Lytechinus pictus: one gene and its partner. The protein of the gene in region 1 interacts with the protein of each later gene in a pairwise test. Links are inferred from orthologs where the notes say so. Each region holds a gene or a part of one and is shown in the gene's direction. Other genes may lie near its edges. The genes, in order: regulator of MON1-CCZ1 complex-like and abl interactor 2-like.

Region 1 (17,591 bases):
TGTAGTGATTTTGAGATTTTTATAATTATTATCATTATTTTTTTATTTTTTTGACAAATGCATCGGATAGATAATCAAATTTCCAACGCTTTTTACTTCCCGAAGTGCTTTCATGTTATTTTCCACCCACTTGCCAACTTTCTCGGAAATACGAATTAGCAATAATGACGTTCAGTTTTATCAGACTGTTAACAAGAGTGTGCTAATGACTTTTTGATGACTTGGACTAAAGTATTTTACAGTGCGATGTCCATCTCGTGTTGGTCTTTGACAATCGACAAATATATCAACCTTATTTTTCTTTTCTTTTAAGAAGGGCATCAGCAATTAAAAGTTAGCATTTAGTATTTTCTTTTTACACTGTTAAAAATAATTTAAACAACGCTGTCTACTATGTGAATCGCACAGTAGTGGTTTAAACATCTTGAACAAGTGTTTGAAACAAAGTATAAATTCAAATATTCAATTATTAAAAATTTAAGCATGGTTGTTCAAGATTTTAAACACTTGTTTAAACTTTTTAAACAACTACTGTGTGATTCACATAGTAAACAGTGTTGTTTAAATTATTTTTTAACAGTGTAGATTACAATTATTTTGATTTAGAATTCGAACCAACTTGCAAATTCAGTTGATTAATTTTCGTAAATAATAACGCAGAACTCTTAATATCGCCTTTGGAAAAGTATCCGTTGGCGTATTGTTTTACAAAATAAACGTAATCTAATGTCGTCTTTATCTTGAAAATACATTGTCTGGTTATACTCACTTTCTTACTGGACGAACTTGCCCGACCTTTTTCAATTTGTTGTAAATTTTTCGCTGGTTCAGGTTTAGTTTCCGGTTCTTCCGATTCTGTTTCCAATACTCCGCCCATTTTCAATACAGCAACTATGTTTTCTTGTACAATAGTTTAACAAGTTTACTTCATTCTCTTCAATTCAGCTCTTGCATGTCTTATTCTTCTTTTTGTTATTGCTTGCTTTTCTGGGTAGCCTTTGCTTGTTTGTTTGTTTGTTAAGCTGTGAGTTGTGTCTGAATTTTAGTGTTGAAAATTTATTGTATCATTACATAACACATTTTGTTGCTATACGAGATTGGCCATTGCTGCGCATGCGCGATACTTGCTAATCGTTTCGGCGAATGAGAATGTGTGACGTAATAAAGTGTATTCATTGTTGATGCGCAGTGCACTGAACGCGCACTCTCATCACAATCAGTTAGAAATCACAGACACAAACGATTCAGTCCGAGGGGAATCAATATCCACATGGGCGGCGATTACGCAGGGGCGGATCCAGCTTTTTATAAAGGGGGGGGGTTTGGGGTGGTATGCGAGGGAGCGTAGCGACCGAGTCCAAGCGAGCGGAGCGAGCGAGGGGGGAGGGTGTGGGAGGGGGGTGTCCCCCCTCCCACAGTAGGGAAAATTTTTGAAAATCTGTGTGTGAAAATGGCGTTTTCTTGCATCTAAAACACCACTCTTTTTGGTATAGAGGTCGTTGCCAAATTAACCCCCATGAAAATTTGTAAAATTAAGTTGCATTTTCCTGCAATGTAAGGCCAGTTAACAACACAGATACAAAGAATTGGGGACCTTGGAATAAGCACTGTTAGCCTAATACTTTTATTATGAACAGCTTGTCACTGATACTCACTGGCAAATCTCAGTCAAATATGATGGACTGGCAGAAGAGACGCCTTGGATGTTTCTGTACAAATCCCTGAACTATTTTGCTGGAACTTTCATTCCCAAATATTTATTTTTCATCCCCAAAGACTTCAACAATCCCCCCATTTTTTTTTTAAATTTTTTTATGTGGGGATTTTGGGGGTGAGAATCGGCAACGCTGGCCTAGCTTGTCACTTCGGCGGTGGCCCGTGTCCTCAAAAAAGCTGATGGGGGGGGGGGGCAAGGGACTCTGTGACATTTGTTCGCCCAACCCCCCCCCCTCCCCCAAAAAGAAATAATAATAATAATAATAATCATAATAATAAATGAAATAAATACATAGAAATAGAATAAAATAAAATTACAAGTTTTAAAAAAAAGATAAGATTTTAAAAAATGGTCCCCGGATTTTTTTTTTTTTGGGGGGGGTTGCAACCCCCCAACCCCCCCCTCTAGATCCGCTTCTGTTACGGGTGGGTTGGGGGGGGCGTCCATGTCCCCCCAAATTTTGGCTTTTGAAAAGCAACCCATTTGGAGAAGGTCATCCCCTTCTAACCATGAAAACAAATCTTAAAAAATCGCATAAAAGCGATCGATGGATTTGGAAAAAAAAATATCAAATTCATTTTTGCATGCACCTCCCTCTCAAAAGCTAGGTTAGTATATTTAGGGCAGGGGGAGGGGGGGGGGAGTAGAAGAGGAGATAAAAATATTGAAAAAAAAGTCGATATGAGAAAATGCCCACCCAAAATATTAACATCTGTTGTCATTTTTTTTTATTACTCAAGTGCTTTATTTTTTTTTTTTTTAGGTAACTTCTTATGGTATCTCATAAAAATACTGATATCCAATTTTGTCCAAATAAACAAGCTACCTAACACTTTAGATTGTAATTTTGACAATGTACTTACATCAAAAGGTCGCACACGGTTATGGCCACCACAGCAACTCATGTTTCTTCACGTTTAGGCATGTTCTGAATAAAGTAAAAATACAATGAAAAAATTGAGGCGATAGAATAAAATATAAAATTCTGATATAATACGATAAAGCTTCCGGAGAATTGTAACTGATCCCTAACATCTTTGAGGGGGAATCCCCCTCCTAGTCTGCAAGCACAGGCCCTGATTGAAATTTCGATCAACAAGTGGCTCTTAAAGGGATGGTCCGGGCTAAAAGTATTTATAGCTTAATAAATATAGTAGATTTCACTGAGCAAAATGCCGAAAATTTCATCAAAATCGGATAACAACTAACAAAGTTATTGAATTTTCAAGTTTAGCAATATTTTGTGAAAACAGTCGTCATGAATATTCATTAGGTGGGCTGATGATGTCACATCCCCACTTGTTCTTTTGTATTTTATTATATGAAATTAGGTTTATTCAAATTTTTCCTCCTAGAACTAGAAAAATTGGATTGACAACTGATTTAGTGCATTAGATATTAATTGCTGCAACTTATTTTATAATAAGGGAGACATATTATTCACACAAGTATGAAATAATAAAAAATTATGATTTCATGTAATAACATTAAAAAAAAACGGAAAGTGGGGATTTGACATCATCAGCCCATCTGGTGAATATTCATGACGACTGTTTTCACAAAATATTGCTAAACTTTAAACTTCAATAACTTTATTATTTGTTATCCGATTTTGATGAAATTTTCGGCATTTTGCTCAGTGAGCTCTACTCTATGTTTTAATATATAAATATTTTCAGCCTGGACCATCCCTTTAACACAAATACTAGCATATATTAAATTCCTGTGCGAGAGGGCCTTCAGTACACAAAGGCATGAGTAGGCTCTACCCTCCTCCCCTCCTCCCCTTCTCCTCCTCCACCTCCCCCCGCCATGATCACATCTCGTGAAACTGCAAACAGATAATGCGATTACCAATGATATACCAACGGAGTCGGTTATTCGTTGGTGTACCTAGAGCACTGGCATGATTAGGGAAAATCCCCTTCCGTCTATCACATTTGAGTCTGCAGACCCCCTCTCTCCAATGGCAGATCCAGCTTTTTGCCAAGAGGGAGTTTACAAGTAGCTGCGACGTAATTCGTCCTACCTCTAGACAGGGAAGTGGGTGTTGGAGTTTGATCCCACACTCCTTTTAATAATTATGTTTTTAGGGAGCCCGAAGTTTGGGTTAAACCACCACCCCCCCCCCCCTTTGATCCGCCACTGCCCACCCCCCATAGGCGGCGGAAACGGGGATACGGGGGGACAGGTCCCCCCTAAATTTGAGGTGGGGGACGATCCCCCCTAAAATTTTTGTTGATAACCTTTTTTTTTTTTTTGCTTGTCAACAAATTCTGTCGGTCCCCCTAAAATTTTGGTTGATATATAACTTTTGTTTGTCTTTTTTGTTGTCAAAAATTTTTGGTGGTCCCCCCTACATTTTCTGGCTTCCGCCGCCAATGCCCCCCCCCCCCCCACTGCCATCACTCCTTTCAATTACACCATCGACATTATGAAGTTACAAAACACCAAATCCAATATACATGATGTCAGGTGACTATACAGAAAACAGCAGCTGGAGCGTCCCCGTAACCAAGACGACCGAAAATACATAATGCAATCCACATCCATGATCAGAATTTGTGATTTCCTGCTCATTTCTGCAGGTACCCGATGAGGTCCTAGTCACACCAACGACACCGACTCCAAACCGACAGATGATATATGTCTTTGGAAATAATGTAATAGCTTTGATCGATCAGGGGTCGTTTCTTTGGTGAGAGTGTAACATCGCATGAATCTTATAAGCTTGTCTTTATAATTATGAAGTGAATCGACAGACAAAAATTCTTTTTCATTGTTTTGTTTTTCATTATTTCTTCGTCAGTTATACCTAAATTATGCCAGAAATGAACGCTGTTGAATTTTTAAAGCAAGTTGTTTAAGCCCATCAGTTGTTTAAAGATTCTAACATGTTTAAAAAGTTTAAATAATTGTTTAGACATTTTGAACAACATGTTGTTAGAGTGATATAGGCTTAAACGCACCGCTTGTAATTTTGTAAAAGCGTTAGTTTTCATCAGAACACTTGGAACATAATCTTCGAATTATCAAAATAGGATATTCTTTATTGATGAACTTGCAATAGAGCCTTAAAAAGTGCTTCATATTTTGACACTGTTCCCAAGCTTTTTGACATCGCTGCCCTATCCTGAAATTTGAGTACGACCTATGATCTAAATGCTTCTCTTTCTCCCTCCACGTTGCTTGTCGCAGGGGAAGAGATAGAATTGAACTTGTCTAATAGAATTTTGAACCCACTTTCTTAATTGCTTTTACTATTTACAAAATGTAATGGTTAACTTGGAAAACGGATCACCAAAATAATGTTGATTTAACATCTTTGTTTTTTATTATTATGAGTAACCTCTGATCAGGAGTTTTATTCATTCACATTATTGGATTAAAAGTTTAAAACCCTGATACAGACAAAGATAATATTAAGAAACTCACGGGACACGATCAGGGCTATCATAGGGACAATTAGAAAGTTGATATTAAAAATAGGTATATATTATATTGCTTACTTGCTCTGGTCTCTTGCAATTAATCATGGAATGATATATCTTTACTCTCAATTAAAAAAATAGTTTTGTGCTTACGTGTGTGTATCATTAAACCACCGCAAATACCACCAGCACATCATTATCATCGTCATAATCATCATCATCACCATCGTCGTCATCATCATCATCATCTTTATCCCCATTATATATTCTTCTTCTTCTTCATTATCATCATCATCATCATCATCGTCATCATCACCATCGTCGTCATCATCATCATCATCACCGTCATCATCATCATCATCATCATCATCACCATCGTCGTCATCGTCATCATCATCATCATTATCATCATCATCATGCATCATTATTATCATCATCATCATCAGGCATCGTCATCATCATCATCGTCATCATCATCATCACCATCATCATCATCACCATCATCATCATCTTTACCATCATCATCACCATCTTCAACTAAAAAAATGAAATGTTAAATCAACTGAAAGATTGGGGAGCGACAATCATTTCAAAATAATGTTATATCCTACCTTACGTATAAAAAGCTGAATACGATGGCTTGAAAGGGTGTAATATATTCCAGCTAGTATATCTAATCAGTATTAGATTTAGGAGCCACTGTCTTCTATGAACATAATTAAGCGCAATCCTGTATTAAAACTGTCTGGCTGCATGCGTCCAATATCACACTGTTACCTATGTCATGTATTTTGTAGTCCTATTTCACATGGCTTCGACGCAACAGATTTTTGTCTATGATACCACGGGCCTCTAGGTGATGCGTTCTAGCTACTCAAGGTATGGTACAAGCGACCTCGAAATGCTGCGATAGGATCGAGCCACAACTATGGCAGCTTTTCAAGAAAGAGTAAAAAAATAAATGAGTAGGCGAGCAAATTATTCCACAAAATGCTAATATGTCCTTTAAGTGGGTGGATATTCACAGGGCTTTATATATTTATTATGGAGTAACACGGTAAAATAAAACCATTGGCAAATCGCCCCTGTCGTTTGTGTAATTCTCTCCACACCCCATCAGGAGCCGGGGGGGGGGGGGGTGAGTGATGTTTCTGGAGGAGGGGACTCGCGCTCCCAAAAATGTTCATACAATAATGTTGTTTTTACTTTTATCATGTCATTATTAAGCATCATAATCTTGACCCAAATATGGCTTATAACTTCGTATATTTGCCCAAAATAAGTTAGAATCGATTATAAGGCTCGCTCGCTGTTCACGCTCGCAACGGAAATTTGATGCCCGCTGATCCCTCACCTTTTTTGCCTCCTGATGCCAATTCTCCATCATTTTCCATCGGGGGGGGGGGGGGGGCTAGAATTCAGTGAGCTGTACGCAGGTGTTTTTTTTTTTGGGGGGGAACATACTTTAAGATCTATTTCTGTTAAAAAGCTTTCACAATCGAGACTTGCGATCGGTTGCAACCACTTTGGTCACAGTATATGTTGCACACAATCGCAACGGTTGTAAGCAGTCGCATCACCAATAATTGTGAAAGGGGCTTAGGTTTTCAAATTTTATCTTACAGTTGCCATGGTTATATCTCGCCATGCTGAATCATTGTCTTGTAAATGGGTAATAATAAAAGTAAAAAGCAAAAGTACTATTATAATATACGTTCGCCATGTTCTCCAAGTCACTTTTCATCAATCAAGTTAGCCATGTTAGCGTCATGTGCCAATCCTGGTATTTTGCTGACTGAACGATATAGATACAGATATTTTTGTAATAGGCATATCTACTTTTTCCGGGAGGGGGGGGGGTGCAATATTGATTCTGACACATTTTTACCTTTATCGTAGGCTGAATTCCTGCTAAAGTGGGCAGCTAGCTAAGGGCAGGGGCGGCGAAAAAAGTGCCCTTTTTAGGCAAGAAAAATGCCCCCTTACGAACGTATATGCCCCTTTCGCCTGAGAAGGACCTGTTTTATTTGTTAACAAGTGCCATATTTCTCCTACAGGGCCTATATCAGTGCCAAATTTTCACCCCAAAAAATGCCCCCTCACGACCGTGTTCAGTGCCCCTTTCACCTGAGAAGGACCCGTTTTAATTATGTACGTGAACAAGTGCCCCTTGCCTTCCTGACCTTATTCGAATCATTGCCCCTTTTTACCCAAGAAAAGTGCCCCTCGATCACGAACGTGTTCTTTGCCCCTTTCACCTGAGAAGGACCCGTTTTATGTCGTTAGCAAGTGCCCTTTTGCTTTCTTATTAGTGCCCTTTCTTGTATCAGTGACCCTTTTTACCTAAAAAAAAATGCCTCTAAAAAATGTGCTCTGTGCCCCTTTCACTTGAGAAGACCCGTTTTATGTGTCAAAGAGTGCCCGTTTGAAACAGGAAAACATATACGTTACTACTTATGAAAAAAAAGAGTAATCCTAATCTATCACGAAATTGGATTTTCATTAGAAAACTTTCAAAATATAAATGTTACGTGATGAGACATATCTAGCCCCCTAAAAAATGTGGGCACATTACAGCACTGTATAGATAAGTTTTTTCTTCTGTTTTTCGAAAGCCAAAGTGCCCTTTTTTCCTTGCCCCCCCCCCTCCACTTTCAACTTCGCTCCGCCGCCCTTATATAGCTAGGGGTTCCACAGCCCGACTTCCATTGACGAGTTCACAGTCCAGAATAAAGTAGAGATCGAGAGAAACCTGATAAAAGAAGAGAGTATATAGAAAGAAAGAAAGAAAGAAACAAAAAGGGGGAAAAGGGAAGGGATCGAGCTAGAAGCTAGGGGAGAGAGAGAGATACTCAGCTAGAAAGAAGGAAGAATTAAAGGAATGAATGATCACAGGAAGAAGGAAGGAAAGAGAAAGAAAGAAAAAGACCGAAAGAAAAATATGGGAAAAGGATAATGAAAGAAATGAAGAAAGAAAGAACAAATGAGGAATCACTGGGCGCCCGAAACATGCACAGTCGAGTACTGTGCACGAAAGGGTCTTTGCAAGAACCGTCTTTCGTGTCGCCCATTTATTATGATGCGCCATGTGAAACGCATTTTAAATAAATTACCTGCAAACATAATTTATTCATCCGTTAAAGTAAACAAAATCTATGGTTATAAAATGATGTAATATATAATAAAATTGTATACCAATTGATTTAAATGCTAGCTAACAAATTATATTTGCTTATCATACATTTCAGAAATATCCCGCATACAGCGCATCATAAGGAGATGGGCAACACGAAAGACGGTCCTTGGAAAGACCCTTTCGTGCAATCGGCCCCAGCTCGTTTCTTGTGCGTGAAAACAGGTTCAAAGGATGAAGGCTGAAGGTCACGAGATCGCGAATGTGGAGTTGACTGAGTCCTGGTAAAATTATATTGAAAATTGTTCTTCTAACCGAAATTGTTGAAGAATATCTACAAATATGGCTGAGGACCAATCACACTATGTAGAACTGTCGGGAAATCCGATAAGATTTGAACCTATCAGCCGTCAGACCAACGTATTTTACGATGAGGTAAAACGACAGGTAAGTGAGCTGCGAAAACACTATTCCGGCGGAACGCTGTCTCTGATTGTCGCCAGAGCTTCCGGGTATCTACACCGTCATTAGTCGCTGGTTCGGATGTTAATGTGGGCGTGTGCGTGTGAAGCTGCGCTTGATCTGAGTCTGAGAGTGAGACTGAGGTCTGAGCTGAGTCGGACGTCGATCGGATTTAACGGAAAAAACGACTAACGTTAGAGGTCTGGGGACGTATTCTGAGGTCATTTTATCTTGCGTAGAAATTGTATCTGCGTATCTACAGATGATACGCAACAGAGGAGTGCCTGCGTCATGTGCGTAGACATACCCATCGCGTATCTGGGCTTCTGGCCATTGGCAATGGCATTGCAACGCGAATGATGTGCTTGCGCTCATGTTACTTCTTTGAAGAAAAAATAAAATAAACTTAAAAGAGGGTAGGGGCTATTTTATCTCCGCGACGTTGATTTCATCATTATTTCTTGGTGAATTAACTACAAATGTTGACATGAAAATGAAGAAAAATTATATATTTAGGCCTATTGAAAATAATACCTTAACGTTATTCCTGTACAATCAGGAAGAATTTCATAAGACTTTTCTTGACTAATATTGTCTTTGAAATGATGCTTGAAAAGATGCAATATAGACTTCGAAAAAAGATGAATATATTGTCATTTTTTAAAAAGAAATCTCTGTAAAAATGCGCAAGCGTATATTGCAAGCGTGATTGAAGTTAATAAATTGACGCAATCTCACTCCTTTGCCACACCTCCTGGCGGAATGGATTTTCATTGGTTGAGTGATATGAGAGAGCTATAAAAGCGCGTTTCTAATTGGATATTGATTAAAAAATAGGTGTGTCTTACAGAGATAAAATGAACATAAAATTGTTCTCAGAATACCAATTCGGAGAGATTTTAAGGGTATTTTATCTCACTGATTTTAACGGAGATAAAATATTTTATTTTATCTGAGATAAAATGGATCTCAGAATACCACCCCTGTTTGTTTTCAGTTCCTAGGACAAAAAAAACATTTATGCCAAATTATGGAAGGGGGTCCTACATAGCCTTGAGGACTCCATGATGATATTTTTTATTATTTTGACATATATACTTCTTCATCATGCATGGAGCCTTGGCTAAAATTTAATACGTGATTATAAATATTATAATAATAATTTATATTCATAATCACTTATTAAATTTTAGTATTTGTTAAATAATAAATTTGCCATGTTGCCCTCCCCGGGCTTTGCCCATAGGAATCCTGTACAAAATAGAGGACAATATTGGCCATATTTCTGCTAATGCGCTTGCGCAGTTGGAGCCGATTCTGATCGCTAATTTCAGTATTTCAGAAATCTTGCTGGAACCAGTTCATGAAACAAAGTACAACACATTGTAGGCAATGCGCGGCGAGGCCAGTGCGGCATACACAAACGTAACCAAGGCGCAAGATTTCTATGCGTTGAGTGTATGTGCGTGCCATGCATGATGCGCGACTGCAAGGTACATGTAACAATTACGTCACAATTATGAGGCGCCGAATGTACCAATATTATATAGAACAATTATTTGTTATATAATCATTATTTATTAAATAATAACTATTATTTATATATAATTTACATTTTATTTGTAAATAACTACTATTATATAAAATATCATTTCTAATTATTTATATATAATTCCAAGTAATACTTCATTATTTGTAAATAATAATAGTTCGACATTCCATTATTTATAAATAATGATTATTTGTTTTTCATTATTTATAAATAATGATTATTTGTTTTTCATTATTTATAAATAATGATTATTTGTTTTTCATTATTTACAAATAATGATTATTTGTTTTTCATTATTTATAAATAATGATTATTTGTTTTTCATTATTTATAAATAATGATTATTTGTTTTTCATTATTTACAAATAATGATTATTTGTTTTTCATTATTTATAAATAATGATTATTTGTTTTTCATTATTTATAAATAATGATTATTTGTTTTTCATTATTTATAAATAATGATTATTTGTTTTTCATTATTTACAAATAATTTGTTGAGTTTTCCATTATTTATAAATAATGATTATTTGTTTTTCATTATTTATAAATAATTTGTTGAGTTTTCCATTATTTATAAATAATGATTATTTGTTAAATAATGAAAACGTCTACTTCATTATTTATAAATAATTTTTTCGAGTGCACCATTATTCTCATTATTTATAAATAATCATTATTTAATGTTCGAGTTTTCCATTATTTATAAATAAAGATTATTTGTTAAATAATGAAATATCTACTTCATTATTTATAAATAATAATTTTGTTTCAATATCCCATTAATCATTATTTATAAACAATTTTTACAGTTTGCCATTATATACAAATAATCATTATTTATATACAAATAACCATTATTTATTAAATAATGCCATTATTTATTAAATAATGCCATTATTTATTAAATAATGCCATTATTTATTAAATAATGCCATTATTTATTAAATAATGGAAAACTCGCTATAACATGCAAATGTGGGACCGCCCATGATATGAATATTCATGATGCGATTTCCTTTTTCGTGATTTTTCTTCACAAATTTTTGTCCATTTCCTCTTCATAATGACATTTCTTGAAGCAATTTTCTAGGGATATGGTCTGATTGTAATATTCTTCATTTTCTATATAACTTCGTCTTCGTAGAAATATCAAAAAGTGTAATTTTATACGATTTTTCCTACAGTTCACAATCCCCATAGGCGCGCGTGTACGGTAGGGACAACCGGTGAATCGACGGAGTGCTCTTCATCGAAATACTACGTTGGTTGGTCCCCGGAAGTGGCGGGCGGAATTTAGCCCGAATCCTCGATGGAAGTCGATCAAGTGCATATGAGCTGAGAGAGTGAAATATCAGTGTACTTGTACAGGCCCTTCTACTTTTTATAATTATTTCTTGTTGCTTTTTTGTTAAGTTAATTTTTCCTGGTGTAGAGATAAGTTTCAGTTCTAATAATGCACTTCAAATACATTTTGGAGTGTCTGTTTGAGGCGTTTGGGGCAATTTCACCCTGGCCCCAAAATGCTCGCAACGACAATACGGGGGCATGATGACCCCTAAATTTGTAAAAACTTATTTTTCTATTGAAAATTATCACAAAATTCACCAAAAGTGTGCACGAAAGCCTTCGTATTTCACTTTTAAAACTCCAAAAAGTGCCCAAATGACAAGCTTGGTCGCTTCGCTGTGTCGCTTTCAACTTGAGAACGTTTACGCGTCTGCTTCCCCCCCCCCCCTCCTCCGAAAGAAATTATGTATACGGCCATGCTCTAAAGAGCCTGGCACATTGATTTATGTATACTTCATTTTCATTATTTTTATCTCATTATCATCATGGCCTTACGCAGAATTTTTTCCGGGGGGGGGGGGGGGGGGTGGGGGGAGCAGGACGCGCGTAAACTTTCTCATAAAAATCTTGAAAAAGCGAAGCGACCAAGCTTGTCATTTGAGCTTGGTCGCGTCGCTGTCTCGCTTTCAAGATTTTTTTTAGAAACTTTACGCGCGTCCTAGCTGCTCCCCCCCCCCCCCCGGTAAAAATTCTGTGTAAGGCCATGATGATAATGTGATAAAAATAATGAAAATGAAAAGTACATATAAATCAATGTGCCATATGCTGCCGTTCACAGAATTTCTTTCGGGGGGTGGGGGCAGACGCGCGTAAACGTTCTCAAGTTGAAAGCGAGACAGCGAAGCGACCAAGCTTGTCATTTGGGCTTGGTCCCGTGGCTGTCTCGCTTTCAAGATTTTTTTGAGAAAGTTTACGCGCGTCATGCTCCGGCCCCGGCCCCCCTGGAAAAAATTCTGCGTAAGGCCATGTTGATAATGAGATAAAAATAATGAAAATGAAAGTATACATAAATCAATGTGCCAGGCTCTTTAGAGCATGGCCGTATACAGAATTTCTTTCGGAGGAGGGGGGGGGGGATATATCGAAGCAGACGCGTAAACGTTCTCAAGTTGAATGCGACACAGCGAAGCGACCAAGCTTGTCATTTGGGCACTTTTTGGAGTTTTAAAAGTGAAATACGAAGGCTTTCGTGCACACTTTTGGTGAATTTTGAGATAATTTTCAATAGAAAAATAAGTTTTTAAAAATTTAGGGGTCATCATGCCCCCGTATTGTCGTTGCGAGCATTTTGGGGCCAGGGTGAAATCGCCCCAAACGCCTCAAACAGACACTCCAAAATGTATTTGAAGTGCATTATTAGAACTGAAACTTATCTCTACACCAGGAAAAATTAACTTAACAAAAAAGCAACAAGAAATAATTATAAAAAGTAGAAGGGCCTGTACAAGTACACTGATATTTCACTCTCTCAGCTCATATGCACTTGATCGACTTCCATCGAGGATTCGGGCTAAATTCCGCCCGCCACTTCCGCGGACCAACCAACGTAGTATTTCGATGAAGAGCACTCCGTCGATTCACCGGTTGTCCCTACCGTACACGCGCGCCTATGGGGATTGTGAACTGTAGGAAAAATCGTATAAAATTACACTTTTTGATATTTCTACGAAGACGAAGTTATATAGAAAATGAATAATATTACAATCAGACCATATCCCTAGAAAATTGCTTCAAGAAATGTCATTATGAAGAGGAAATGGACAAAAATTTGTGAAGAAAAATCACGAAAAAGGAAATCGCATCATGAATATTCATATCATGGGCGGTCCCACATTTGCATGTTATAGCGAGTTTTCCATTATTTAATAAATAATGGCATTATTTAATAAATAATGGCATTATTTAATAAATAATGGCATTATTTAATAAATAATGGCATTATTTAATAAATAATGGCATTATTTAATAAATAATGGCATTATTTAATAAATAATGGTTATTTGTATATAAATAATGATTATTTGTATATAATGGCAAACTGTAAAAATTGTTTATAAATAATGATTAATGGGATATTGAAACAAAATTATTATTTATAAATAATGAAGTAGATATTTCATTATTTAACAAATAATCTTTATTTATAAATAATGGAAAACTCGAACATTAAATAATGATTATTTATTAATAATGAGAATAATGGTGCACTCGAAAAAATTATTTATAAATAATGAAGTAGACGTTTTCATTATTTAACAAATAATCATTATTTATAAATAATGGAAAACTCAACAAATTATTTATAAATAATGAAAAACAAATAATCATTATTTATAAATAATGAAAAACAAATAATCATTATTTGTAAATAATGAAAAACAAATAATCATTATTTATAAATAATGAAAAACCAATTATCATTATTTATAAATAATGAAAAACAAATAATCATTATTTATAAATAATGAAAAACAAATAATCATTATTTGTAAATAATGAAAAACAAATAATCATTATTTATAAATAATGAAAAACAAATAATCATTATTTATAAATAATGAAAAACAAATAATCATTATTTATAAATAATGAAAAACAAATAATCATTATTTATAAATAATGAAAAACAAATAATCATTATTTATAAATAATGAAAAACAAATAATCATTATTTATAAATAATGGAATGTCGAACTATTATTATTTACAAATAATGAAGTATTACTTGGAATTATATATAAATAATTAGAAATGATATTTTATATAATAGTAGTTATTTACAAATAAAATGTAAATTATATATAAATAATAGTTATTATTTAATAAATAATGATTATATAACAAATAATTGTTCTATATAATATTGGTACATTCGGCGCCTCATACACAATTGCTTATTAAAGGTTACATCGCTAAGGTCGTGAATAACCTGAAATCAGAAGTAGTGATAAGCAAACAGGCATATAAATTGTTCCGAATAGTAGCTTGAATTACACATTGTACAGCTTTAGGTAATAATAATAATATTGACTGGCTCTTCTTTCGGGAAACATAAAATATGTCGCCCTTAAAGGAACCATATTGCCCTTGTCTAAAGACTCGGGCCAATATAATTCTGTTGCGGGCGACATATTTTATGTTCCCCTCAAGGCCAGTCAATATTATATACGGTAATTATTTGTTAACGTTTTATATTTAGTTATGTATTTTTAAAATATATGACTGCTTTTCCCACAATGGCCCCAAATACTTACAATAAGATAAGGAAAAAGTTACCAAGAATCTTTATATAAAATTTGTAACTTTTTCCTTATATCTTATAAGATGAAACCTTCAATCCTAAAAATCTGAAATGGAAAATACAAATGTTTCAAGTGCCTTTTTTAATTAACGATGGCGATTGTCTGAGTGTAAGAGGTAACCTATTGGAAGCTTTAATGGTGATTGAAAGTCCTGTCTCTAGCCACTCATTCAATGAACAAGGTTGTGATATAACCTTGTTCTCTGTTACATCTCCATGAGTGACAAAATAAGGTTGGCAATGGTTGGCTTCTTTTCTCTTTATCTTTGGGACAAATGCTTAATTTTTTTACACTGTCAGTTTCCATTACAGCTATTCCCAATTTATTAATGAAAATAAATTGCAACTGTATGGAAATTAGTAATTTTGGTCACAAAAAGTGATATTTTAATGATTTTTAAAGTGTGTGCTCACAGCATTGGCATACCACAGTCCTACCTGTAGATTCCCCACAGGCAGGATGGTTGCAGTGAGCAAGTGTCTCCAGCCAGGTTTTTTGTGATATGTACATGTACATGTAAGATGGTCTCGGTGACTGGAGACTCCTACATGTACATGTAAGCTATGGCCTTTGATGACCATGAATGAACTTAAGCACTGATGCACTCCTTGGATCTTGTGGCCCCCAAATCACGCAATAAATGGATTATGTCTGTGCGGATCTTGCAACATTTGCTCGTGTCTTTAATATCTCAGAGGGCATAGGGTTACAGAACTTAGGATTGTAATAAGAGTTTTGGGTTCAGAATAAAGATAAGGATCAGGATTAGGGTTAGTTAAGGAAGTTATGTTTGGCTTAATGTGCAGATTTTCCTTCAGAGCAATTGTGGCTGGAGCAAATGTCATAGAACTGTCTATGCATGTCAAAATGTCCAAATGCAAGAAAAAAATGAATTCTTGTAATGCCAAGCACATATTTTTCTTTATTCTGAGTTTAGACAATTCGGTTACAGTGTACATGTATGTATGTATATCCCTCCCATGATGTGTAATAATATACACAGAAATGTACTTTCTAAGATAGGATTCAAAGAAAATAGTTTATAATTCTGGATAATGCGTTTTTATTTTGTTTCAGGTGTTCGCTGTGAGATCAGGAGGAGCCTTTGGAGTAGTTGTTAAAGGACCGGACGAAAAGACAAGCACAACATTTAGGTAACTTATTTTTCTTCAGAAATACAGTTTCAGTCATGAACTTGTAAGTTAAACCCAAGTCAAAGTGACCTATTAGATAATCATGATCTCAGTCATACAGAATGCTTGTGGAAGTAAGGGGGGGGGGGGGGGGCTATGCATACATGAATTGATGAATCATACATCAATGATATCTTAAAATGGTACATGTAATCTCCATTTACAATATAAACAAAATATTAGAAATTCTGCTTTTTGATCAGATTTAAGTCATTCTACATGTACATGTATGAACTGTTGCATAATGCTACAAAAACAGTTTGAAATGTATCCCGCAGTTTGAGAAAGGATGGGAAAGGCGAAGGTAATAGTGATGAAATATATGCAAGATTTATAAAGCGCTAAGGATTCTAAGCGCTGCAAACTATTACCCCAGCATGATATGGCTAGTGCTACCCTGATCATGCCCTTGAGCAGTCACTACGCCTGGGTGGAGAGTGGCACGTGTAGATTATTGCCTTGCTAAAGGCAAGGGGGTGTATGGCTATAAAAAGATGACATTTCTACTTTGAGAAATGGTAGGGGAAAAGAATTGCTATATAAAGTCAGAAGCTGAAAACGGGAGAAAGAAAGGAGAACCATAATCAAGAGTACAGAGGAAGAGGGACAATGTAGAAAAGTCAGTACAAAAAGGGGGGAAAAAAGGATCAAAATGCAATGCTAGAACATGTACGTGTAATTGTATTGCACACTCCATACTCCAATGGTTGTATCTTGAATATATGATTTTATTACCAAGTATTAGGTCTTACTCTCTTGTATAGTAAACAGAAATAATAATAATAATAATAATATAGGATATTTTTATTGCGCACATATCCACCTTGTTAGGTGCTCAAGGCGCTCCTATATTACCCGGCTAATGATTATAAATGATTATGTTTACTTGAAATCACAGAATGGAAGACAAAGGACCAGTTATATCCATCAAATTCTCATCTGATCTTCGAATCTTAGCTGTGCAGAGATCACAGAGGACAGTGGTAAGGATAAAAGTGTAACCGGTGCGGTAGGTTCTTTCAGCCCCTTCCCCCCCCCTCTCCCCTGCCCCCACCCCACACACACATTTGCACCATTATAAATAAAGGGCGGTATTCGTATAGCCATGGTTTAGTTAATTCACACCACAATTTTTATGGAGTGGCAGTTGTCAGCTCATTCACCATTCAAAAATTATTTCAATGCTTCGGCAAAAAAGTTGTTCAAATATTATTTGTGTTGTGAAATGAGCAGAATATGGTAATAGCTTTGTACAATAAATTATGAAGTAAATTTTCTTTGCCATGAATATTTAAGAAGTAGAGATGAAAATCAGCATTCCAAGAAAGTGTGGACTAAAGTTGCATCCTATAGGTTAAACTCCAGTTTATCAGAATACAGTATAAGTTCATGTACCTGAGTCAAGAGAATAAACCAATGTAGCGGTTGCCACTTTTTGTTTAAAAAAAACG
Region 2 (17,289 bases), on another chromosome or scaffold:
ACCCTGGCGAAGGCATTTTCCGCAAAAATAGCCACAAAGCGACTAGTGAAGAGTCTACACACGTCGCTGGTTGCAGCGTGCGACACAGGCGAGTCCCTCACCAAGTTTGATGGATTGATACACTTAGATGCCGAAAGATAGATATAGAAGATAGATAGATAGATAGATAGATAGATAGATAGATAGATAGATAGATAGATAGATAGATAGATAGATAGATAGATAGATAGATAGATAGATAGATAGATAGATAGATAGATAGATAGATAGATAGATAGATAGATAGATAGATAGAAGTAGAGAGAGAGAGAGAGAGAAAGACAGAGAGATGGTTAGATAGATAGATAGATAGATGGGGGGGAGAGAACTTGAGAGATGGAGAGATGCTATAGATAGATAGATACTGTAGTTACATAGATAGATAGATAATAGACAGATAGATGGATAGATAGATAGAGAGAGGGGGGAGAGAGAGATAGAGAATTTGAGAGATAGGTAGATGTTAGATGGATAGATAGATAAAGAATGAGAGAGACAGAGAAGATAGACAAATTAACAGATAGATAGATACTGTAGTTACATATAGATAGATAGATAGAAGATAGATAGATTGATAGAGAGAGAGAGAGAACTAGAGAAAGACAGATGGATAGATAGTGTCACGAGCGAAACTGCTCTAATTAACTCATTAATCTACAGGCTACTTAACCACCCTGAATAAAAGACCAAAGGATATTCAAGATATAAATGAAGTGATCAATTTAATGTCATAAAATATAATAAGCCATTAACATTGAATCGTTGAGAACATAAGTATATTGGCAAATGGATATTCAATAAATCTTTGCATATAAAAATCATAAAATGCCATATATGCATAAGAGGAATATAATCATCATCGATTGTTTATGGGAAGAGATCGATCTAAAAATAGGCCTTTAAATTATGTTACCGAAAGTCTTAATCGGGTAAAGTGGAGTTCGAAAAACAGAAGAGATCGACAAACCACGGCGACTACGAAGAGGCGACGATTACGACGAAGAACATGTCGATGATCGACGACAACGAAGAACAATTATGGGACGATGAAAACGCGATGCACATCAGCGAAGACACGACCGTGTCCTTGAAGAACGAAGAACCATAGTTGAGTTGAAGCTCTATAACTAGGAAGAATTATGGTCGAGTCCGACGAACAGAAGCTTCGGCTGACTGAAGTGAGTCATTCCCCTCTGTGACTCATGACCTTGACATAGCGGGTATAGGTGCTACCCTGACCTACGTACGTTGACTCTACATTAACCCTGGGTTGACCCTAGGTTGACAGCCGCCTAAAATAGGAATAGACCAAATACTTAACAGCAAAGACCCTAACAATTTTCTATTCACAAAGATGTCAGCTTATCGAAATTAGCTGTCATATTATCAAAGTAAATAAATAACAAGCTTTTATTAGCATGAGCTTTGTGATAGTCAAAAAATACATAACAGTGTGGAGAAATCTAATATAATTAACTTTCTCTCTGAATCGTAGATCGATTATATAATTGACTTTAACAGACTTGCAAAATACGTTTCCTTCACCGGAGGTATCACATGAAATATTCATAATTTGCAAAACAAGCTTTTTATAAATGACACAGAATTGTACGACTTTAAATAGCAAAATACAACTTTGTTCATTTTAGTAAGGATAATTGTATTCACTTTGAGGAATGGAGTAAGATAAGAAATATATGTAATTTGGTGACAAAATGAGCAGAATATATATATGTAAATCTATCTTTCTTTCCGAAAACAGACATGCCATATTAAGCATAAGAATTGTATTAACATTAAAACCATATAAACCAAACATTACTTACAATTCGGCATGAGTAGAAAGGAACCTGCCCGCACTGTGGCACACGCCCTTTTCCTTGGTTAGGAAACACCCCAAAACGGACCTTCCTCTCCAAAATCAGAAGTCAGAGTGAGCTGGCTTGGCTTTTCTTGCCAGCACACCAAACAGAAATATGTAACACAAAGAGTCTGTCATCCTACACACCTGTTAACCTATAGTCTACTTATTATGACAACCCAGCCTGTTGAAATACCAGGCAACCTATCATGCCTATAGTTCAGTTACTAAGGTATGCAGTCCACATCTGTACATGGAGTTTAACAAAAGAGTTTAACAAAACATGGACTTTAACAAAAGGGTTATCTAACTTTGAATAAGATCCTACAGATAGAGAGAGAGAGAGAGATAGATGTTAGATAGATAAAGAATGAGAGAGACAGAGAAGATTAACAGATAGATAGATAGATAGATAGATAGATAGATATATAGATAGATAGATAGATAGATCTATATAGATATAATTTGAGAGATAGATATATAGACGGATAGAGAGAAAAAGACAGACAGATGGATATATAGAGAGAATTTGAGATATATATATATATATATATATATAGTGGATTTTATTGCAATAAAAACTATCAAAATACAATCACAAGCAGTCAAAGACTGAAATAAGTGAATGTTTACATACAAATAGAATCATAACAAAATATAAAGTAAACATTATAAATAAATATCAAATAAAATACAAATTCATACAGATGAAAAAGAAATGTATCATAAATAAATACAAAAGGCCAAAAGTACTACAAAGTGTCACCAAAGAAGAAAAAAGCGGAATGAAAGATTAAGAAGAAAGAGGTGAGAGAAGGGAAAGAAATTGGGATAAGACAAAGAGAAGGGAAAGCAAGAGGTGGAATTTGAAAGAGAATAGGAGGCAACCTTCAGAAAAAAAAACTCATTATGCAATGCAAGACATTTAACAATGGTAACAAGTAAATAAAGTAGTAATTTAATCGAATCGAGCACAAAAAAGGGAAAAGTAGAGCTGAGGAAATAGACTCCCGAAGGAAGTCGAAGCAGTATTGATATTGCATGCGTAGATTAATAGATGGATAGAGAGGAATAAAAGAGAGACAGGTGGATAGATAGAGAATTTGAGAGATAGATGTTAGATGGATAGATAGATAGATAGACAGATAGATAGGTAGATAGAGAATGAGAGAGACAGAGTAGATAGACAAATTAACAGATAGATATATCATGTAGTTCCATAGATTGATTTATAAGACAGATAGTGGATAGACAGATATGATAGATATAAGGATAGATATAATATGAAAAAAAAAGTAATTATGTGTTTTATTTTTCAATATTTTAGCTATTATTTGTTTTCATTCATATAAACGATCATGTGCGATAAAGTTTAAAAAAAAATCAAGAAGCCAACGTAAATAGTTTAGCGGTACAACGAAAATACAGAGACTGAAGCTTTTGGTCTATAAGCTCAGCTGCATTTGCACGTTAGACGGGTCAATATATTGTTTGACCTGGAACAAATTGCAACAAATGATTTTTCAACGGTATTTTGTACTATTTGACCTCAGGAATAACATACTAAAAATCTACCAAAATCCGCATCCGGGAAAGTGGTTATTTTTAAGATGGCGTCCAAGATGGCCGTCATTCACTAAAAATTGATATAACTCACTCATTATCCACCCTTGAATCCTATTTGGATTCATATTCCATAATCCAATGGGTAAAATAATCTATTTATACAAGTTAGAGTGAATATTAACACTCCAGGGTACCAGGAAAATCCAATATGGCGCCCAAAATGGTTGCCGTAGTCTAAAAAATCCACAATTCATCTATTACTTACTTAAGTGGCTTTAATTTGGTTTCCATTCGATTGTTTTAATGATGGAGTAGTATACGTCGGGACAAGTAACAAGGGCAGCCAGTGGTCTGGTGTGTCGAAAAATACAAGATGGCTTCCAAAAATTGAGTTTAAAATGGCTTTTAATCCTTAAAATGGACATAGCTCATATCACATCCACCTGAGAGATATGATTTTGATGTCTAGACCATGGTTTCAATGGTCAAATAATACATTGTGACAAGTTACAAGGACAGTCAGTGGTCCGGTATGTTAAAAAAATCCAAGATGTCTTCCAAAAATGGAGTAAAAAATGCTGTTGCTACTTTAAAAAAAACCAACATAGTTTGTTAAATATCCGGGAATATGATTTTTTGTGCCTATACCATGGTTAAATGGGTCAAATAATAAATTGGGATAGGTTACAAGGACGTTTGTTGGTCAAGTATGTCCAAAAGTCCACGGTGGCATAGTATCAATTAGCCGCGATGGTATTTAAAAATTGACATAGTTAGGTTTTATTCGTCAAGGGCATATGATTTTGTTGCCTATATCATGGTTTCAAAAGGCAGAAAATTAGTTACAAGGACAGTCAGTGGTCCAGTATGTCGAAAATCTAAGAAAGCTTCCAAAAATCGGAGTCTAAAATGACTGCTGTTACTTTAAAAATGGACATAGTTCCTTTAAATTCCACCTAGGAGATATGATTTCGGTGTCCACACTATGGTTTCATGATTAAAATAATACGTTTGGACTGGTTACATTGATATGCAGTTGTCCAGTTTGCCTAAAACACAAGAGGGTTTTTAAAAAAGGAATCTAAAACGACTCATATCATTCAATACTGGTCAGAGTTCTACAATATTCATCTGCAAGAAATAATGTTGGTGTCCAAATTGTGGTATGAAGGGTCAAATAATACATTCGGAAAAGTAACAAAGATGGTTAGTACCCCATTTTGTCAAAGATTCTAAAATTTCATCAAAATGGGTGCTGTTACCAACTCATGAAACAATATGATAACTTGTCCCCATGCATTTAAGTGTAGGCACCAAGATTATTTCTAACAGGTAGATATTTTATGTAACGGTAGTCACTTTAGAACCCATTCTTAAGCCAACTTGGATTTCAAGGCAAAATGAATTGCTGCATATCATGGTAACCAGTCCCAAAGTATTGTTTGGCCCTTGAAACCCTAGTGTAGACACCAAAATAATATCCCCAAGGTGTATTTATAATGTTCTACATCCCCTTTTAAGTAACAGCAGTCTTTAAGACCCCCATTTTTAAAGCCATCTTTGATTTTTGGACATACCTGACACCTGACTGTCCTTTGAACTTATCCCAATGTATTGCTTGACCCTGTAAACTCTAGTATAGACAGCAAAATCATACCTCCAAGGTGTATTTATAATAAACTATGCATACTTTTAAACAACAACAGTCAATTTACACCCCATTTTTTTAAGTAATCTTGGATTTTTTAACATACAGACAACTGACTGGTCTTGTAACTTACCCTAGTGTATTACTTGACCCTTTTAAACCATGCTTTTAACACCAAACTCATATTCCCCAGACAGATGTTAAACAAACTATGTCCTTATGTAAGTAACATCAGACATTTTTTTACTCCATTTTTGGAAGCCATCTTGTAATTTTGGACGTACTAAGCCACTGACTGCCATTGTCTTGTCCTAATTTATTATTTGACCCTTGAAACCATAGTTTAGACACCGAAATCATATCTCACAGGCTGAGTTAAAACGAGCTATGCCACTTTTAAGTATCAACAGCCATTTTAGAATCAAGTTTTGGAAGCCAACTTAGGTTTTTTGACCGACCAGGCCACTGACTGTCCTTGTAACTTGCCCTAATGTATTAATTGATCCTTGAAACTAGTGGTTTAGACACAGAAATCACCTTTCCAGGCCAATATGAAATGAGCTTTGTCCGTTTTAAGTATCAGCAGCATATTTTTAAGACCAATTTTTTGACACCATCTTCGATTTTTGGACATACCAGACCATTGACTGTCCTTGTAACTTATCCTAATATATTTTTGACCCTTGAAACCAGTGGTTTAGACATCAAAATCACATATCCCAGTCCAAAATGAAATGAGCTATGTCCGCTTTAAGTATAAGCAGCCATTTCAGAATCAATTTTTAGAATCCATCGAGGATTTTTGCACATACCAGCCCACTGACTTTCCTTGTAACTTGTCCGAATGTATTATTTGACCCATTTAACCATGGTATAGACACAAAAAAAAATCATATTTCTGGACATTGAGCAAACTATGTCGGGTTTTTAAGTAGCAACAGCAGTTTTCGACTCCATCTTTGGAAGCCATCTTGGATTTTTGAACATACTGGACCACTGACTGTCCTTGTAACGTGTCCCAATGTCTTATTTGACCATTGAATTCGTGGTCTAGACACCAAAATCATTATGTCCCAGGCGGATATGAAATGAACTATGTCCATTTTAATTATCAACAGCCATTTTAAACTCCGTTTTTGGAAGCAATCTTGGATTTTTGGACACACCAGACCACTGGCTGTCCTTGTAACTAGTTTCAATGTACTATTTCACCCTTAAAACCATTGAATGAAAAACAAATTTAGATGAATTGTGGATTTTCAGCCCACGGCAGCCATTTTGGGCGCCATCTTGGATTTGCCTGGTACACTGGAGGGCTTATAATTCTTTCTTGCCTAAATCAACTTTTGTGCCCCAGACCATGGAATATAGAACGAAATAGGATTCTAGGGTGGATAATGTGTCAGTTGTATCAATTTTCAGTGAATGGCGGCTATCTTGGACGCCATCTTGAAAATAACCACTTTCCCGGATGCGGATTTAGGTAGATTTTTAGTATGTTATTCCTGAGGTCAAATAGTACAAAATACCGTTGAAAAATCATTTGTTGCAATTTGTTCCGGGTAAGGCTATTTTTGGTCGTATATTGACCCGTCTACGTATGTTCTGCGGATATCTTCGGAGCGGAATTTTGGATCGCGCGCCCAGCTGATTATGTAAACAAACGTAGACGTAGACTCTTCACTAGTCGCTTTGTGGCTATTTTTTCGGAAAATGCCTTCGCCAGGGTGTAAAACGGAAACGCGCACCCAGGGCCCCGTCCCGGGGGGGGGGGGGGCACTCAGTATATAATGCATAGTGGGTATGTGCCGCGGAGGGGACCCCCATTTTTACACTCAAATTTCCGTTCCAATTAAGGCATAGCATTTTTGTCTTATTGAGAAAAAGAACAAAGAAAGCCGCTCCAAGGCATAGCATTTCCTTCTTATCGAGAAAAAAGAAGAAAGAAATCCGCTCCAAGGCTTCGCATATTTTTCGTTACGCCGTTCCGGTCGCATTGATCTGCTACAATTTTGGTGAAAAGCGGCCGTAGAGCGCTTTTCGACCATCGCCTAAGCGCGAGCGCACCCGGCGGAGGCCGCGCTAGCTGCGTCGTGCACGTTGCCCGTTCCATAGGGATGCATACGCACTCACAGAGATACGGAGATCCGTTCCGAGGACCCCCGTTTTCACAAACATTTGTAGTTCCGAGGACCCTCCTTTTTACAATAAGCCCGCTCCAATTATAAGGCCCCCGTTTTTTGCCTCGCCCGCGGCACACCCCTACCACTTTTTTGGTCGAGTGCCCCCCCCCCCGGGGGCCCCGTCTTACAATCCTACATGTACGAATTGATCCAATCAACCACAATTATGGAAAGCCAGCAACGTCAACATTTGAAATAAATGTTTGTTCAAAATATTTCCAAGATATGTAAATACATTTACTGTTTTCTTGAAAATTCAGTGTTTTTCTCTTTGTTTTCAAAGCACAATGTGCAAATTTCCAAATAAAAAAAATTCCATATACTTGAGGTTGATCCCGGGGGCGCGATAGGATCTGGATCGATCGTAGCTCTTTGTAAGACGGGGCCCTGAGTGTTTCATCAATGCAACGTTTTCGTTCGACAAATTTTCAGATCTAACATCTTTCTTTGATTTTGATTGGGTGCGAAGCAATGTCACTTTGGTAACTGTCGGATTAAAACCATAAAATGACCTTCGGAAAAACGTCCGACAAATCCTTTCGAATTTCATGAAACGCTCCCCAAATACCGGAAGTGAGAGTGACACTCCTAGATTACCCATAATTCCATTTATGAACACGGAAGCTTCTGCGAACTTGGACAAAATTGTACAAAATGTCAACGTTGGAACTTCTTTTCGAAAATGAAATTCCTGCTGGAAGACAGGCTTTACAGGACAGTCATCACAACTTGCAAGATGTGGCTAATTATTGCGAAGATAATTACCGGAAGGTAGATTTAATCAATTTTTGTATTACCTCGGTCCCACTCGCAGAATTTTAAGTTGGTCATGTTATTATTGTTGGTCGAAATTGAATTGGTCCCCAACTCTGCGCACCTAAAATTTGAGTTAAGATTTAACATATATTTCTTTTTATTTCACAAAATTTTCAGTTGATAATGTTCCTGACATCATTATGAGTTAGTGTGCCAAATATCTCATGTCATGATAATTTGAAAATTTTGAATGAAATATATGATTTTTTCGGAAAAAACATTGGGCAGTCATTTTCACTTTCACTTTCAGATTGAACAAGAAAATAAAATGGTGCCCCATGTCTGCGCACCCATTCACTCTGGGATTTTGAGAAAGGCTGCATTTTGAGGCCGTCACAAGAAATGCCCAAAATTCATTATTTTTCCACCATTTTGATGAATATCTTTCTATGTATTGCATGTGTAAATGTGTTCATTACGTATCTTTTACTAGAATCGCGCAGATACGCAAGTGCGCAGACAAGGGGGACTGCGCAGACGGGAACTTACCAAACTTATATTATGATGGTGGTCCCCAAGCCTGCGCACCTAACGATTTAATTATTTTCCCACCATTTTAAATCAGATTTTTTTATGAATATCTGTCTATGTATTGCATGCGTAAAATTTCTGTTCTTTTACTATAAATACTAGAATCACGCAGATTACATGTATAGGTGTGACAAACAGACTCCACAACAATGAAAAAATAAAACTCAAACTGAAAATTTAAGATTAAAAGAAGTCTAAACGAATGAACCAGTCACATAAAAATTGAAACAGGATATTAAGATAATACCTGTGAAGTGACAAACCACCCAAGACCAAGTGATTTTAATGAAACTGCCTTTTCCCTGCCTATCTTTAGAATATTATGGCATTGAAAAAGACATATTTTTGCCTCTGACTGTCATCTTCCCTCAAACTTAGTGGTCATGATGTCCCCCAATCTAATGTGGACTTCAAATCTACAGTAGCTCAGCCCTTTTCAAACTTGAAAAATATTATACAGGTTTACTTGGATGTAGGTGAGGCAATTAGTCTCACTTTTTCTATGAAAAACATTACTGAGCTTAGTTGCTTCATATCTGAATGAGGCATCAACAAATCATAAGATAATCCCATCCCATCCTACCATACATTACCACACAAATCACTCTCATCATATATTTCCTTTTCTATCTTTTTGATAAAGGCCTCTGATAAGAGGAGAGCACTTGAGGAAACAAAGAACTTCACCACTCAATCTCTTGCCAGTGTGGCATATCAGATCAACACACTTGCTACCAGTATGTTGCAGATGCTAGATCTTCAAGCCACACAGCTGGCCAACATGGAGTCTAGCATCAATCACATAGCACAGGTAAGCTCAATCTTTTTCCTCAGTTTCAACTTGGTAAAGACAGTGTGGAAGCAATTTAATTTCTTCTATGTAAAGTACTGTACATGTTGATTTTGACTCATTAAGAATTCACACTGTCTGATGTGTTTTAGGCCCTCCCCCCAACTTGTTCCATAAAATTGTTATTGTTTCTTTATACACCATAGTACTTAGTATTGGACTAATAAAATGTGTGATTGGAGGTACAGCAAATTCATTTAGCATGAGCCTGGTGGTTATTCGACAAATCTGTGGAATTGCCAAAGTACAGTTGTAAACAAATCTCTCTTTTTTTTTCTTTCAGAATGTTGCCATCCACAAGGAGAAAGTAGCACGTCGAGAGATTGGTGTGTTAACCACCAATAAGAATTGCCCTCGCACTCATAAGGTTGTCACACCACCCAATCCTGAGAAGCAGCTTAAGTATAAGTCCACTCCCATTGATTTTTCAGCTCTGGATGACGTAGGTCATGGTCTCAAACTTAGTTCTCCTTCAACAACGTCAGGTAGACCACGAACAGATTCACAAGCAAGCACTTCTACATCTAACAGTGGTGGTGGTGGAGCATATGAAGCATTGCCAGTTTACCAGCCACGACTGGATGACCCGTACAACTCCATGCGTAGACGAATGCCCAATCACCCACCAGTTGCACCAACTGTACCACCACAGTATATGTCTATTGGTAAAGTGGGCATGCGGGATTCTCACCACGGGGCGCCACCAAAGGAAAGGCCATCGATTCCAGGATACATGCAGGGACAACCAGACCCAAATGTACCTGCAGCCCCACCCCCTCCACCAAACATGCCAGGTACACACCCTGGTATGGCACCAGTCGGCCAAGTGCCACCTCCACCACCTGTCATGAGTGGGCCTCCACATACTAACATGGGCCAACCACCACCACCTAATATGGGACCTCCTGCCCCTCCTGCACCCCCAATAGGAGGTATGATGCCCCCAGCACCATCACCTGCACCAGCTGTACATCAGCTACCTCCAGCAACACACCAACCACCCCCAGCAGCCCAACAACCACCCCCGCAGCAACAGCCAAATTTTGCTGCCCAGCTGAACCAAGCTATTGGAATGAGGCCAGGTGCAGGAGAAGCCCAACGTAACTCCATTAACCCATATGGGGATATCGGGATGCCTCCACCACCTGATATGGGAGGTAGGTTCCGGACATCTCAAGTGCTTTTGGAAGTAAAGGCCAAGAAATTCAGTCATTTCAATTCCTTTTTCACTTTAATCATGACATGGTTGCATAGATATATGCATGATTTATTTAATGCTCAAGTATCAAGTCATATTACAATCACTTGGTGAGAATCGGGCTGCATGAAGATCATTATTAAACCAGGCACCCTCAGATATAAAATGAGAAACACTGATAATATCTAATGTCTCATAATCACCATTCTGTATCTTTCTCAGATGTATTTCATTGCACTGTTGATGATGATTTCCTGCACATGACAACATTCAATACTAGGGCTCTGCTGTAAAATATGTATCATCAGTGCTTTGGTTACTTTTCATTAATAGTAACTATCATACTACTACACTTCCAATCACAATCAAGGTTTCCATGGAACTTATCATTAAATTACAAAGTACTGTTAGTATCGATGATCAGTTTGTGCAACAGAGCCCTGGATGATAAAGAAACAAAATGAAATAACTCTGTTAATGTGTTACTTTTGCACCAATTTCACCCACCCATTTTATCAACAGCCTCAGATCTGCCACCTCCTCCTATGGATTCTATGGTATATAGCCAAGACAGTGTGGTGATGCCTCCACCTCCAGAGTTTGAACAGGTGGATGATGACCAGTTTGTTCCCACGCAGTACATTGAGAAAGGTAAGTGTCACTCAGGAACTGTTCTTTGCCAGTTTTAGATACTGATTTTAGATGCTTTTTTGAGATGTAGTACAATCTTTCTAGTGCAAAGTGTGCATGTTGTTAACCCATTGCGTACTGGAAGTAGCCAATGGGTTAGCTAATCGTCAAGGAAATGGGCTGTTTATTATAAGATTCGCCTCTACTCGAGGCGGAGTCTGCAGTTATATTGTCTTTGCTGTTATCCTGAACGCAAGCAATACGTCTGATGTGGCAAAGACTACAAATTGTGTATGCAAAGCATCCACCACCTATAGACTCCTGTCTTGCTTTGGATATTGCTTTATTATTATCGACAATGAAATGATGCCTGTTTTTTCATACGAAAAATTCTTATGCATATGTTTGAAGAAGAAATAAATTGGACCAATCAGAAATACGTTATGAAGTAGAAGGTAAGGCATATATCTATGATTATCTTAGCGATCATGGCTATTAAGATGGAAATGTCTCAATTTGTTGAATAAACATGAATATTGATTAGGCAGATGGGAGTCTATAGGCAGTGGATGCTTCGCTTCCACAATTCGAAGTCTTTGCCACATCAGACGTATCGCTTGCGTTCAGCATAACAGCAAAGACAATAACTGAGGTCATGTACATTGAACTGTCTCATTCTCATAATTGAAGAAACTTATGAGGGGTCAGCTGCAAATTTGGCTCTTGGATCCATGGGAGTGATGAGGATCTGATTGTTTTTTGGGGAAATGGGATAAAGATAAAGGTCACAGAGGGGCAGTTCCATAAAATGTGTGTTTCCGACCCCTTATGTGTGGGACCTTCATGAAATTTTTCGTCTCTGATTTATTGTTCTTTTGACAGACCAATGTTCTCAAAGGACCAGGAGTTGGTTAGTTTATGAAGTGAAGTAAGACTTGAGAAAATGGGGGTCTGCATACAAAAGGTTTATCATTTTAAGAATTGCTCAGAGGATGTTACATTGAAATGTCTCGTTCTTGTTATTACTGTTTAAGGGATTAACTTTAAACCTGGTTTGTATCACATATTGGAGAAGCGGTGATATTAAATTTTGGCGTTACATGTATGACGTCAGAGGTCACTAGGTTATTTTTACATGAAATTACTGAAAATATTTCTTTCTTGTGATAACTGATAATCATTGATGGATCATTGTCAGATTTGGATCATACACCCTGTATCAGTGTGGCTTGAAATCACAGGTGGTTTTTAAGACCATCAGTTGAACCCATGGTTTATTCAGATTTCCTTTTTGAATTACTCTTATTTACAGCATATAGATATTGATAATGCTGATGAGCGCTTTTCCGACAGTGCGCCAAATTGATGCCTGTTGCTGTGATTATCCATGCTATTTTATTTATGAGTCCACTGTTTTGAATTAATGAGTCCACTCTTCAAACAGTGGACTCATGAATAAATTAGCATATATGTACTCAACCATAGCAACAGGCATCAATTTTGCACACTGACAAAAGCGCGCATCAGCATTGAACATTTTTTAATATACGTGATAAATAGGCATAATTTATACAGGAAATCTGCATAAACCATGGGTTCAACCGATGGTTTTAAAAACCACCTTTGCGAATTCGGGTCAATATGTTTATGTAAAGTAAAGATTATCTGAATAGTTTTGGTGGTGACAATTTCAAAGTTTTAGTACATGAAAATTTTAGAGTTTAGGTGTATATTCTTGAGCATGCAATCACAGAGGCATAAATTTCAAATGCATGCTTTTGGTAATCCATGTAGTTAAACATTGGTTGGATTATAGAGAGTATCCTATATATCCAATCCAGGACACGTGTGGAGTGCTTTATGTAATTTTTAAATCAACTTCATATTTTGGACCCACTCATTGGTTTTGAAAAACTTAGCCGATAGGAGATCGGGATGAAATCCCAGTAGTTTCAGGCCCTGAGACGGTTCTGGGAAAGCTCCCAAATCTATAAACTGTGACTGTATTCCAGCTGAAAAAAAAACCATGCCACCTCTTTTGATTATCAAAATCCTGCCATTCGCTGATCTCTTCCTCTACACCATCCAATCCAAAGTTGATATAGCACCTTTTCCTTTCGGTTACAAAGCGCTTGCATTCACAGTACTCCATGTTTGGGCCACTAGAAAAATACTTCAACATGTCAGAATGATCAGCTTAGACAGTCCATGCAATCCATTGTCATCTACATGTAAGCAAAACAGATGAGATTTAATGGCTTCCTTGAACTGGTCAACAGATGAGTCCATCTGCATGTATACCCTAGCTAATGCATAAGTAATGAACAGAACAATATAAAAAAGTGATTAATACTTTTATTTGTTACCAATTTAATACACTATAACAAGCACAGTGTAGCATTCTCTACAGCACACGATCACCCCATAAAACTACCAATTTGGCAACATATACTTTGGTTGGTCAGTTTCAGTATATAGGGATTCTAGTTAAAGGTCAAGTCCATCCCAGAGAAATGTTGATTTGAATCGATAGAGAAAAATCAAAGAAGCATAGCGCTGAAAATTTCATCAAAATCGGATGTGAAATAAGAAAGTTATGACATTTAAAGTTTCGCTAATTTTTCACAAAACAGTGATATGCACAACTCAGTGACATGCAAATGGGACGGTCGATGATGTCCCTCACTCACTATTCCTTTTGCTTTCTATTGTTTGAATTATACAATATATCATTTTTTACAGATTTGACAATAAGGACCAACTTGACTGAACCATATAGTATTAAACAACATCAATTCCACATGTTCAGGGAGGAATTAATCGTTGTTTCACTTGGCAATGAGGAGAAAAATTTTTCATATTTTATTTAATAAAATACAAAAGAAATATTGAGTGGATGACGTCATCAGTCTCCTCATTTGCATACCGAGCAGGATGTGAATATAATTGTTTTATGAAATTAAGCAAAACTTTAAAATGTCATAACTTTCTTATTTTACATCCAATTTTGATAAAATTTTCAGTGTTATGCTTGTTGGATTTTTCTCCCTTTATTCATATCAACTTTTCGTTGGGGTGGACTTGCCCTATAAAATAAGTTTGAGATACCACCCAAGTCCAATGTAAAGATACAAGACTGAACTTTGATGATAAAAAGTATTAGATATTTGAAATGAATTAAACTAAATTTGTGGGAGCTGAAATATGCATTCTTGTTGGACTATTTTGCCATCAGAAATGCTAGTAAAGTAAATGTAATGCTATTCATGTATATAGATTTGGGTCAGAGTAATTTATAACTGTGTGGATTCTTGACATGTTTAGATGAACAAGGAGATCCAGTTCCATTTATTGAGAAAGGTAAAGTCTAGATCCCTCTTGGAAAATCTGTTTTCATTTTTATAACTGTTTTTCCTACATCTACCAAAAATGTCTGTATCAAGTAAATTTTTCACCTAAATTGACCAATCATTCTCATGTATTTCAACATTTTTTCATGAATTTGTTATCAGAATGTCCACCCACATGCAACTTATGACTTTTAGTTTGTAAGTACAAACATGTACGTATAGATATACCTTGTCTTCCAGTATACATTTGCGTTTAGATCTGAGGACCATGTTACATATTTTCACCATGCAAATGCTATATTTTATGCTCCATTTTATGCTCCAGGTCCAGGATAATAATTGAAAAAAATCATTGTGCACCAAATATTCTCCATAATTATTCATGTACATGTAGGTCAACTCCATGTGCTTAAATCTTTCATCAAATACAGCGTTATTCAGAGTTCATTGGAGTGCATTGCTATTACAAAGACAGATTTGAGTGGGAAAAGATAGAATATTAAACTATAAGAGCAAGTGCCTTTTAAAACCCCTTTAAGCTTTCAAATAGAGCTGAAATTATATATTTTTTTTTAAAGAAAAAAACAGGTCGAAGGAAAAATGGAAGAAAGATTGAAGGAGGAAGAAGTGAAAGAGAGAGAACGAGAAATCGTTGTCACTGTCCCCTTTCTCGTTTTGCTATAATTTAAAAAAAAGAAAACTATTGCAATTTTTAGAAGAAAGATTGAAAATTGATGCATTTACATGTAGCAGCTCATTTTCTCATTAATCAACATCTTCTTTCAACTTGTTTTTGAATGCCTCCCTCTATGGTAGATCTGTGTTTATCTGGAATCATTATCTGATATTTCCATTAAGTCTCCATGTTGAACATGTAAATCATCTTTCTTAAATTATCCTTCTCTTGCTCTCTCTCTCTCTCTCTCTCTCTCTATACAATGTACATGTAGCTCACCCTCTTCCAATTAAATACATACAGTATATTCCATATGTCCAGCCTTGCTCCTTGTTAGGAGCCATTTTCATTTAAAAATGATTGAATATCTTTGCCCCTTCTTATCCTCATTTCAGTGAATCCCCTTTATTACTGGTCCAATAGGCTTACAAAGACATTACCAACCATGTGTACCAGGCAACATTTTTTTTTTCCGTTGGCTGCTTTTCACAACTTGCTGCCTAAATGTGCAACATAGGATAGATAAGCTTTAACGTTGTGATCAATGGAGATTTCCATGGGCCAGGACTCTTTTTGTTAGTTTCCATGGCTCTTTTTGAGCATTTTGGGGGCTACTGTAAATCACATCCTGCCCTCATGTAAATTTTGTCCCTGACGTGTACGGTATATTTGTTCTGAATTTTGCAATCACTGTGCAATCAGATTAGCAAATGGTTTGTAAATGCAAATTTGAAGTCATGAATTATACTTGGACCTTTTTTTTAATTTATGGGGGGGGGGGCTCTCTTCTGCTCCTTAACGTAAAGTGTTATTCCCTTCTGTGCCATAGGGCTTATGAAATAAAATATGCTTTTGAAAGTAGACTAAAGCAGTATACACTCAACTTGGAGAGAATGTAATGTTTTAAGAGCATTCTACTTTATGAATCATTCATTTTCAACTGCAATATTCTCTTATTCTCCTAAATCAGTTTCATTGTGTGATTTCTAAAGCTATTGTGTAAGATTCTTTCTGTTTGGATAGCCTTTGATTTTATTTTGATATAAAATCTTTCCTCTTTTCTTTTTTTTCCTTTGACAATTTACAATTAATCACACATATAAGTAGGCAATTATTATTAAAAAGAACATTTGCTTTCAAAAATAATGAAATTTATAATATAATATATAGTGTATGAACAATTTGAATATTTTCCTCCTGAAATGGAAAAGTTGGTTTGACTGTTGCCTGAATACATGTAGGTGAAATCACCATTGTAACTTCGTACAATTAAATAAACAAACTTCTGTATTTAATCTACAAAAATTGAAATATTTTATATTATATGTCATGTGATAAGACGTGGAATGCTATCCCTCTTTCAATAAGAAATGCTTCCAGTGTTCTTGGCTTCAAGTCTTCCCTTAAGACATACCTTTTTCCTCAATAATTAATTTCCCTTTTTTCTTTAATATTGTAGTAATTATTGCAAATGTTAAATTATTATTCATACATTGTACGCGCTATGGTACTTATTGTTTTTAGCACTCTAAATATCCATTATTATTATTATTATTATTATAACAAAAAGATATGTGTGTGCTGTGCATATACAAGTCTACAAGTGAGTCTGCCAGAGTCAAATCTCTTACATGTACATGTAGGTCCATAGAATTATTCTCTTTGACATGGTAGAAATGCGATTTATAAAGTGAGTAACACATGCTTTGCCCAATCTGCTCTAAAAAATGCCTTTGCTTGTGCAACTGACTATTGACTAAGAGAAGGTCAAATCATGCAGGCTTATCTGCGATTGTTCTGTGTAAATCAAGCCAAACTCTAAAATGTCATCACTTTCATACATGAAAGATACATCTTTCATGTGCTGTTATTATTTTTTTTATCATTTTCCCCACTTGTTCTTTTTACATTGAAATTACAATTACAGGAATCTAATTTTCT

Evidence for each region.
Region 2: the proteins of regulator of MON1-CCZ1 complex-like (region 1) and abl interactor 2-like interact in a two-hybrid assay, tested with the Caenorhabditis elegans proteins (2 studies listed by BioGRID). The link is inferred for Lytechinus pictus from reciprocal best matches to the Caenorhabditis elegans genes Y50D4A.4 and abi-1.

The regions. Positions count from the first base shown.
Region 1 is NC_087261.1:21,294,628-21,312,218, reverse strand, and holds the start of regulator of MON1-CCZ1 complex-like, read left to right. Parts: upstream 1-8,511; 5' UTR 8,512-8,623; coding exon 8,624-8,728; intron 8,729-16,024; coding exon 16,025-16,101; intron 16,102-17,038; coding exon 17,039-17,123; intron 17,124-17,591. Other genes in the region: choline transporter-like protein 1, read right to left, coding at 2,581-2,622.
Region 2 is NC_087247.1:39,150,841-39,168,129, forward strand, and holds the start of abl interactor 2-like, read left to right. Parts: upstream 1-7,879; 5' UTR 7,880-7,951; coding exon 7,952-8,068; intron 8,069-9,287; coding exon 9,288-9,455; intron 9,456-9,777; coding exon 9,778-10,651; intron 10,652-11,214; coding exon 11,215-11,343; intron 11,344-17,289.